2 linked regions of the Saccharomyces cerevisiae S288C genome follow. The protein of the gene in region 1 purifies or fractionates together with the protein of each later gene. This does not show direct contact. Each region holds a gene or a part of one and is shown in the gene's direction. Other genes may lie near its edges.

What was found.
Region 2: the proteins of XBP1 (region 1) and YPL216W purify together in Saccharomyces cerevisiae (affinity purification with mass spectrometry, with the first as the bait; one large-scale study listed by BioGRID). This does not show direct contact.

Annotation. Positions count from the first base shown.
Region 1 is NC_001141.2:174,765-179,072, reverse strand, and holds XBP1 (Xbp1p), read left to right. Parts: upstream 1-1,822; coding exon 1,823-3,766; downstream 3,767-4,308. Other genes in the region: SGA1 (glucan 1,4-alpha-glucosidase), read right to left, coding at 1-1,069; YIL102C (uncharacterized protein), read left to right, coding at 4,186-4,308. UniProt on the Saccharomyces cerevisiae protein: Transcriptional repressor which binds to the consensus sequence 5'-GCCTCGA[G/A]G[C/A]-3'. Represses CLN1 transcription.
Region 2 is NC_001148.4:142,203-147,942, forward strand, and holds YPL216W (uncharacterized protein), read left to right. Parts: upstream 1-1,618; coding exon 1,619-4,927; downstream 4,928-5,740. Other genes in the region: GTPase BMS1, read right to left, coding at 1-969; CBP3 (Cbp3p), read left to right, coding at 5,214-5,740. UniProt on the Saccharomyces cerevisiae protein: May be required for the activity of an ISWI chromatin-remodeling complex.

The DNA of each region.
Region 1 (4,308 bases):
ATGGCGCATCGTGGACGGTGTTCGCAGCTAATAAAGTGGATATGTCCAGTCCGGATCTCAATGTGTCGGCAATCATGGGTGTCCCAACAATATAATTGTACTTGCCGTTGATAAACCCATTCGCAGGGTCCACTAAAAACTTGGAGATGTCCCGGCGTGTCTGACGCAATTCTTCAACAAAGGGAGACGACCGTTCTGAGGCGTTAAAATACGACAGCGACTTGTCCACTGCAGACAGTTGTACCAGTAAAGTAAAGAAATGCATGCCATTGACTTCCTCCCATAGATCAAATCCGGAAGAATTCCAGTGGTCAATAATGAACCTCAGGTCCCAACGTACAATATCATCAAAGATATCTGCGGTGGACTGGAATGGGTACTTGGCCCCCAGATCAGTGCCAGATTGCTTGATGTAGTCGATGATTTTTAAGATGGCAATGCTTCGAAGAGCAGGCCCATCGTTTTGAGGACGACCCCAATCTTCCGTGAAAGCCGTGTTGTCGACGTTCCACTTAGGGTCTCCCAAAGCCACTGTATCGTTAGTGTAACCAATGCCAGCGCCCAATGTGTTGTTGCTTCTTTGCAAGTGGAATGAAACGTTCAGGTACTGCAATAACGTCTCTATTGCCGGGCCCGCAGAATGAGAGACAATACTGTTTATCGTCAACGCGCTGTCCCTTATCCATTGGTAGAAGTAGTCTGGATGCGTTTGCGATGGTGACGCAATCACGACCCCAGGCGAAATAGACGGATACACGGCGCTGGGCCCAATATTTTCAAATATTTTTTCGATGGAAACTTTTTTCTGTCCCTGGAGCCATTCCTCCAGCGCACTACTGTCCCAAGCGCCGTTTGAATCGTATACCACTGTCCCATTCATCAAGACTGCATCCCGCAGCTGCACTTGCGAAGGGCCGTTGTTTGAAAATACACCGCCGTAGCTTTGATCGAGAATGCCCTTGCCAAAGTCAAATTCGTATATAGTAATGTTCTCGAGCGCCCAAGCAAACCCGAATCCTACGCTGAGCATGCCGAGTAATTTGTTATAAAACATCTTTTGTCTTGCCATTTTGCTGCTGTTACTTATTTGAAATCTTGCTCTAGTCCACGATTATCACTATATTGTAAATGTACGATTTCTTGTGTAACAGAACAGATAACGGATCCAGAGCCAAGAGATGAGAAAAAATACGAAATGCGCAGGAGGAAACAGGGAACCAAAAAAGGACCCTTGCTTCTGTGCCTGAGTCCCCTAATTTGTGACTCCACACATGCAGGCAAGTTAAAAGCACCTTGTACGAGTGCTATGAATGGGTGTTACTCTGGCCCGATTTCCCTGACTTTCCTTATTCACCCTCACCCCTAATACCCGTTTCCGCGGATAATGTTCTATGCTTCGAAGCGCCCCCCTTGCGCTGGGCCTCGAACCGCATCCATTGAACAACAGCTTGGCCTTCCCTGTATTCTACCACATCCATTGCTATTGCCCCTCTCCCCTTCTCCTCTCTCTTCTTCTCCACTATACTGTGCTTTTCAGCCCATTCGGCGCGCGAAATCACAAGCTGTATATATACATTTACATATACATATATATATATATATATATGTGCATAAATGTATGTACATATATGAATGCCGGGCCGCGTGGCGTCTGTAGCTTGTGCGTGTACGTGTGTACACACTTCAACATATATATACATACATATATATATCTATTATTCGTGTACTAGTGTTTTAACTTGCTCGTTCTCGGTACGCATCCAGTTCTTCTCCCCACACAACGGCAAGCTCAAAATACCTTATCATAGACACCTTCTCCAACATGAAATATCCCGCTTTTAGCATTAACAGTGACACGGTACACTTAACGGACAACCCCCTGGACGACTATCAGCGTCTCTACCTCGTCAGCGTACTGGATAGGGACTCGCCGCCGGCCAGTTTCAGCGCCGGACTCAATATTAGAAAGGTTAACTATAAATCCTCCATTGCTGCGCAGTTCACACATCCAAACTTCATTATCAGTGCTCGGGACGCAGGGAACGGGGAAGAGGCGGCGGCGCAGAACGTTCTGAACTGCTTCGAGTACCAGTTTCCCAACCTACAAACAATTCAGAGCCTAGTCCACGAACAAACGTTGCTATCGCAGCTCGCTAGCTCCGCCACTCCTCACTCCGCCTTGCATCTGCACGATAAAAATATTCTGATGGGTAAGATCATACTACCTTCCCGGTCTAACAAAACACCAGTCTCAGCATCACCCACCAAGCAAGAAAAGAAGGCTCTGTCAACAGCATCGCGTGAAAATGCCACCTCCTCGCTGACAAAGAATCAGCAGTTCAAGTTGACCAAAATGGACCATAATCTGATCAATGACAAGCTCATCAACCCTAACAACTGCGTAATATGGTCGCATGACTCCGGCTATGTGTTCATGACGGGCATCTGGCGGCTGTATCAGGATGTTATGAAGGGGCTTATAAACTTGCCCAGAGGTGACAGCGTTTCCACTAGCCAACAGCAGTTCTTTTGCAAGGCTGAATTCGAGAAAATTCTATCTTTTTGCTTTTACAATCACAGTTCGTTCACTTCTGAGGAATCTTCAAGCGTACTGTTGTCGTCCTCCACCTCTTCGCCGCCAAAGAGACGGACATCCACAGGGTCTACCTTCTTGGACGCCAATGCGTCTTCTTCATCTACTTCTTCAACGCAGGCAAACAATTACATCGATTTTCATTGGAACAACATCAAGCCCGAACTGCGGGACCTTATTTGCCAGTCTTACAAAGACTTCCTGATCAATGAACTTGGTCCTGACCAAATAGACTTGCCCAACTTAAATCCGGCAAATTTTACGAAAAGAATAAGAGGTGGTTACATCAAAATTCAGGGTACTTGGTTGCCGATGGAAATCTCAAGGTTGCTATGCCTGCGGTTTTGTTTTCCGATCAGATACTTTCTGGTGCCTATTTTTGGTCCAGATTTCCCCAAAGATTGCGAATCGTGGTATTTGGCTCATCAAAACGTTACATTTGCTAGTTCTACCACTGGTGCAGGTGCTGCTACTGCTGCTACTGCTGCTGCTAATACAAGTACCAATTTTACGTCTACTGCAGTGGCAAGACCTAGGCAGAAGCCCAGACCCAGGCCAAGACAAAGATCTACTTCCATGTCCCATTCCAAAGCGCAGAAACTTGTTATTGAGGACGCCTTGCCCTCATTCGACTCATTTGTAGAAAACTTGGGCCTTTCCTCAAATGACAAGAACTTCATTAAAAAAAACAGCAAAAGGCAAAAGTCGTCCACATACACCTCTCAAACTTCTTCTCCAATAGGGCCAAGAGATCCAACGGTGCAAATTTTGTCAAACCTAGCATCCTTCTACAACACCCACGGTCACCGGTATTCATATCCGGGAAATATCTATATACCACAGCAAAGATACTCTTTACCCCCACCAAACCAGCTCTCGTCGCCACAGCGGCAGCTAAACTATACTTACGACCACATTCACCCAGTTCCTTCTCAGTACCAGTCTCCAAGACACTACAACGTCCCCTCTTCACCAATCGCGCCTGCTCCTCCCACTTTCCCTCAACCTTATGGTGATGATCACTATCATTTTTTGAAATATGCTAGCGAAGTTTATAAGCAACAAAACCAACGACCAGCTCATAATACAAATACCAATATGGACACCTCTTTTTCGCCAAGGGCGAACAATTCACTGAACAATTTCAAATTTAAAACAAACTCAAAACAATAAAAATGTCATCTGTTACATTTTTGGTAATATTCTTTTATAATGGTTCTTTAATTTTTTTACATAATTTACATATTATTTCAAAGTTTTTCAAAAATATCCGTACTATATGTTTTTCCAGACAAAACATAAAACATACAATGATCTTTTTGAAGAGAGAATTAGTACACTCATTACAAGGTGTATGACGTGCCGAAGAAAAAAATTGCTTCCAATCGGATTTGAACCGATGATCTCCACATTACTAGTGTGGCGCCTTACCAACTTGGCCATAGAAGCTCGTACTTGTTGGTTCAGTACTCTTCATCAAGCTATACTATTTATCTAGGATGACGGTCACAGTGATTCGTACTCGACTGCTTCTATAATCTGTAGGTGGCTTGCGCATATCCTGAATTATCGTAATTAAAGAACCAAGTTAGATGCTAAAGGTGGAAAAGTTCAAAAAATTGAAGCGATTCGAGGTCTATTATTGTTTAAAAAATTCTTTTCTGGAAGAAGTAGATATCGAGATGAAATATTCCTGCAGTATAACAACTATAATG
Region 2 (5,740 bases), on another chromosome or scaffold:
TTCACGTTCAAAATCATCCAGTTTCTGTTGGTAAAAAGGTGTGGGACATGGATCTGGTAATTTTTCAATTTGTGCTACTGAGAAATCACCAACACCAGCAATATGCACCCTAGTGCCCGGAGCAGAAGGCAAAGGAGTACCGTGCAAATAACCATAGATAGCGACTTTGCGGTCGATTTGCAGTCCTTGAGTCTCTATTAATTCCGGATGAGTTAAATCTGTGAATCTGTCAGCCAACATATAGGGATGTTCGTTCCTCCATTTTAATGGTCTGAATTTCATAACAGATATAAATCGTGAAAGGTTTAAAATCTCTCTATCAGGATACCTTCCATTAATCACACCAGATAGGTAAAATAATTTTGCACCTTGATAAACTTCCGTCCAGAATCTGTGCTTTAATCTTTTCTTAGAAGCTCTCAAAGTTGACTGAGATTTAAACAGATCAAGATGTGTAGCTACACCAAGTACTCTTGGCATACCGTGATGTTGAGCAATATTTAAGAATTCCATTGTTTCCATTTCAAAACCGAAATTACCGTCAATTAGTAAAAGAACCAAGTCGGCAATCTTAGCAATATCAATCATCGCATTCAGATCGTCCGCAGGGCACTCCAAAAAAGTTAGTCTTCTATGTTTACCAGAGACAACAGTAATAGGACCTTGAATATCATTCAAAGTGCTTTTTGTCATTCTCCTGACGAGGGACCGAATCAAAGTAGTCTTTCCTGTTCCAGGTGGACCCACGACAGCGACGATAAATGGAGGCGGATCATCTTCAGGGGTACGATCAACCATAGGAACATGCAGTTTTCTTTCGTTCACATCACTTGACCTTTGCATAGTTCTCGCCATCTTACCTGGGGCTGCCACGGCAAAGGCCTTTGCATTATGACCCTGCGTATGGAGCTTCTTTTTTGCTGTATTCTTCTCCTTCGCCTTACGGTGCTGTTTATTAGACTGCTCCATCGTTTCAGATAACTCAGATGGCTGATTAAAGGCTACTATTATGTGATATTTTTACCTTAACAGCGCAAATACTTTCCTTAATTTTGAAGCTTCACTTCAGCTCATCGCCTTGAAAATTTTTCATTTGTACGGACATTAAACTTAGGCGATAACAAAAAAAAAACTTCATCTAGATAATCTCAACTTTGAAATTACAGAAATATTTACAACAGTAGTACGAGTATCTGCACTATGGCTCACATGTCCTTAAAATAATCTAAGCTTACCTATCTGATATTTGTTTTGATATTGTTTAGGACCAGCAGTTTCTGAGAGTTTAGCAAATGCACCTTTACAGCTATCCTCAACTTTTGGAAGAGAAAGTGACAAGATATGTAACAATACTTGCATGAATCGACATTTGTTTACTTTGGTCCATTTTGTATATGATAGTGTGATTTAGCGATATGGAATTATGTGTATTTTTCTATTTGTTGTCATTTCAATATGGGATGACTTGTTTTCTTGTAACGCGCCACTTCAATAGTAAACATTATGAACCTGATAAATGTTAGCAGACTTAGTAAGAGAGACAATCATTTTCATTCAGTAAAAATCGCAATCCCTAGTTTGGCTCTTCTTCTAGCCGTACTTTAAATTCAAAGCAAAAATGGTTCTGCTTAACAGAAGGAAAATACAACCTAAGGAAATAGGACAGTCTGCTGATTCCTTCTCTGAAACTCCATGGGTGATTAAAGAAAGTAGCGAGCGTATAAATGATTATGACAGTGATTTAAAAAAGCTAGATTTTTACAAAAGGGATATATTCACCTGTGAGATTAGTGGAAAAGATGGCCTTTCGTATTTCAAGGCGTTAAAAAGCGAAGAACAGCACCGTGAAAAGGTCAGATATCTTTTACCAAAAGAACTAAGGAAGGCTATAGCAAATTTCGCAAACTTCAGTCCGATAAGGAAGGTAGGACACCTTGTAGAAAGCGCATTTCAGCGTTTTAGTAACCGTTTCTTTATAGGCGATACGGTGTGCTTGAAAACTATCCAAAAAAATGCATTGATTACCTATAAAGAAGGAGAGCCTAACTTGGTAGAATCACCAACTATTGAAAACAATGTCACGTTGTTCCTTGTCAAGGATGTGTTTCAATCTAACGGGATGATGGAAAGTGAAAAGGGAGAAATTTCTGCCCCAAAATTGTCACTGTATTTAATCACAGAATGCCTGAATCGAGAATCTAAAGGTGCGGCCCTAATTGTAGGCCAGAATGAAATTAAAAGGCCAGAATCACACTTTTCTAAATTCATAATTGCGTGTTTTCTTAATGAAATACTCATAAAAGTATCGAATAAGGAGCACGCACCATGGAGGGTGAAACAAGAATATATAGAAAGATATGATGTAAACCCTAAATGCTCTCCTAATATGATTGATTATTTGCCGGATAGAATGAACTCATCTTCTTCCGAGCTTTACACTCCTCTTACTATACCACCAGAGAGCGATGTTGAACCTGCTGACTGGAAGGAAACGTCGGAAACGTCGGAAACGTCGGAAACGTCACTATCTAAAATAAAAGCAATTGACGACGAGATTTCAGTCTCATTTGACCACATTTACGATAATGTGAACTCCCTTGCCTACAATGATTTGAAGGGAACCGTCGACGACAAGGAGCTTCCATTCACTGGGCCTTCGATACCATTTGAAAATATCAGCTACTTAGATAGCTCCTTAGAATATAAGAATATCGATCAAAAATGGTTCAAAGAGTGCAGTCAATTTCCAACGGAACGACTATTGGTTGTTTATCAATTCCTGAGCTTTTTTGGACGTTTTATTGGTCTATCACATTTTAATTTTGATCAGTTCCTTACTACTATCAAGTGTACTAGTCCGGAGGCTTTAGTAGATGAATATGTCAAAATAAACTTTCTTAAAACTTACAACAGCAAAGGGAGTTTCACAAATGAGAAGCCAAGAAACGAAATATATAATCAAGTGACCAGTAGTAACGTATCCCAGCGTGAGAAGGCTAACGTCTTTAATGCAGATGAGAGTCAACGAATACCTAGCAATTTCACCAGAAACCAGAAAATGAGGAAATTTATAACGGATAAAAGTACTGAATTTGTAATGTATTCCATTTTTAAAGGGAAGCCTCTAAAAAATGACGATATGGAGTTTCAATCGTACGAAAAAGTGAATATACTTTACATTGATATAGTTTGCTCGTTAATGTGTCTGATGACGGATAATGAACCTGATTGGAATTGTAATCTGATGGACAATTGGACTGAAGAAAAGCGAAAGGAGGAAGGAAATAAAACAGAAATTGATATAGCTATAGAAAAGTGTTTGAACTATGGAGATACTAGCTGGGTTAAACTTTTGCACAATAAAAACTTTAGCAACGGCAATTGGTTGATCTGTCTCCTTGGAATCTTGCAACAGAATACACATATGATAGCATATAGTGATGTCGCAAAATGTATCACAAAAAAAATACTACCTTTATCCATGAATTTTGTAAATTTAGGTGATGAGCTCTGGGATAACTTTCGCAAGAGATTATCTATAAAAGATAAAATTGATGTTTTATGGGTTCTCGTAGATTTTGCGTCCAATTTCTCGAGTTATATTAAGGAGTTGGTAGATAAAGTACCAAAACTGTGCAATGGAATCCGCTTAAAGTTGGATAGTGCAAAAAAAGAGTATATCAAATTGAAACGGCAACTAAAAACGTTAACCAAAAATCGCGTGAAGCTTCACAGCAACGTTTCAATGAACCGATATGGATCAGATGAATGTAAAGGTAAGGTCAATGCCCTTAAAGTGAAAATTGCATACTTAATGGAAGATATCGCCTTCCTAGAGGCAAAATTGATTCAGAGCGATATCAAGAGACTAGAGATTTTGGGTAAAGATAGAAATGGAAATCGATATTATTGGATGGACTCAAATGGATCGTCATCAGCCATCAGTGAAAAAAATGAGGAACTTTACAACTGCTGTTTTTTGTGGGTTCAAGGACCCTCTGAAGCGGATATAAACTTTTGCTTAGATGTCGACGTCGAATCTTTGAAAAAATGGGAGTTGTTAGCTAAAGCAAAAGGTACTGCCTACGCGACAAAAGAAGTCTTTTCAATATTTAGGTCGACAGACGGGTCTTACTATCAAATTGCTCAAGGTGAGAATTTCATGATAATTAATTCAAACGGTATCTTAATGAGGCCAACTATTCCGGCATTCATAGACAAAAAAATTATATCAGAAACTCCAGAAAAGCTCCTACTCTCTCATCATCAATGGGCTTTCTTCAACGATATAGAAGATATACATATGTTAGTAGATAGGTTGGATGATTTAAGAGAAAATGAGGGACAATTGAAGAAAGCTTTGACATCCAAAATGGACCGTATTGAAGTATCATACAAGCAACAGTTCAAAATTAAAAGGCGTATTGAATGTGATGAAACCTTCAAAAAAAATCACAAACTTTTGAAAAATAACGAGTTCACGTTTCCTGAACTGAAAAGAATTGAGACAACTTGTACATCCAACGGCCAACATTTTTCCAACATGGAGAAAATTTCCAAAAAACTATCAAGGACAAAGAATGATCTCGTTTTGGAAGCGATTTTAAAAGACGTAGCTCACCTTGGAGAATGTGAAAGAGCACTTCTCAAAAAGCAACAAAATTTGATTTATCCTTTGAATTTTCATTTCGAACAATTGAGGACGATAGACCTCGAATTTATAGTTGAAACGAAAAGAAAAAGGCAAGAGGATATTCTTACGAAGCTTTTAAATCATCAGAGGTATAAGCATATTAGTCATGTTTCAGGCTATGGGATAAGTTCTCAACGAGTAGATAAAGCTGCACATCTTGATGTGCAGGGTATATTAGAGGAGATTGAATGTCAACTTATTTCAAGACGACGAGAGGATGAAGAACGCAACTAGAAACAACTCTGCAGTTCAAATCACTCTTCCTGTATACGCCTTAGAAAGATATTAGAAATATCTTTTACTATTTAATCTTCACCATTCATTATTCCTCGTATATAAATTGGCCCATTTCAGGGCGTCTGACTGGAGTTGTATTTAGGCTTTACCCGGCGTTCTTCTGAATTTATAGCCAGCAAGGAAAACAACGTCAAAATTGGTCCTCGACTGACGCATTAGTAAGATTAATATTTAGCAAACACTATGATCTCCGTAACAATCTCTTCAGCTATTCCAACACTTGATGATGTCAGTCAATAGATTTACTTCAGGTCGACTCCCTGTTTTCCTTAGAAAGTCCCCTTTTTACTACTCGAGAGCTTATTTGCATCAAACATGTGTTTTCAAGCAAAATAAAGAAACTGCACAAGATTCGCCAGAGCTTTTAGCAAAAAGCTCACATCTGAATTCGAAACCACTAGATGTAAGCAATAAAGCACCAGTGAAAACTGCTCAGAATAAAATTCCTCTAGCTCATAGTAAATATGAATCGTCAAAGTACGAACTTCCCAAATGGAAAGAAGCCTTGGGTGAACTAGTAATTCGAGCATTTCATTTAGATATGGATAGAGTGAGGGCAGGGCCCGTTGCAGGATCTTACTATTATAAAATTTGTAAAGAGCAAGGTTTACAATACGAGGACGAGCCATTATCAGAAACTGCTAAATACTTTTACGAGGATTTGAAGCTACCACGTACTTTTTCACAATGGTTTCAAATCACTGTATTGCACGAGTGGATACTTTTTGTACGTATGAGAGCCATGCCTTT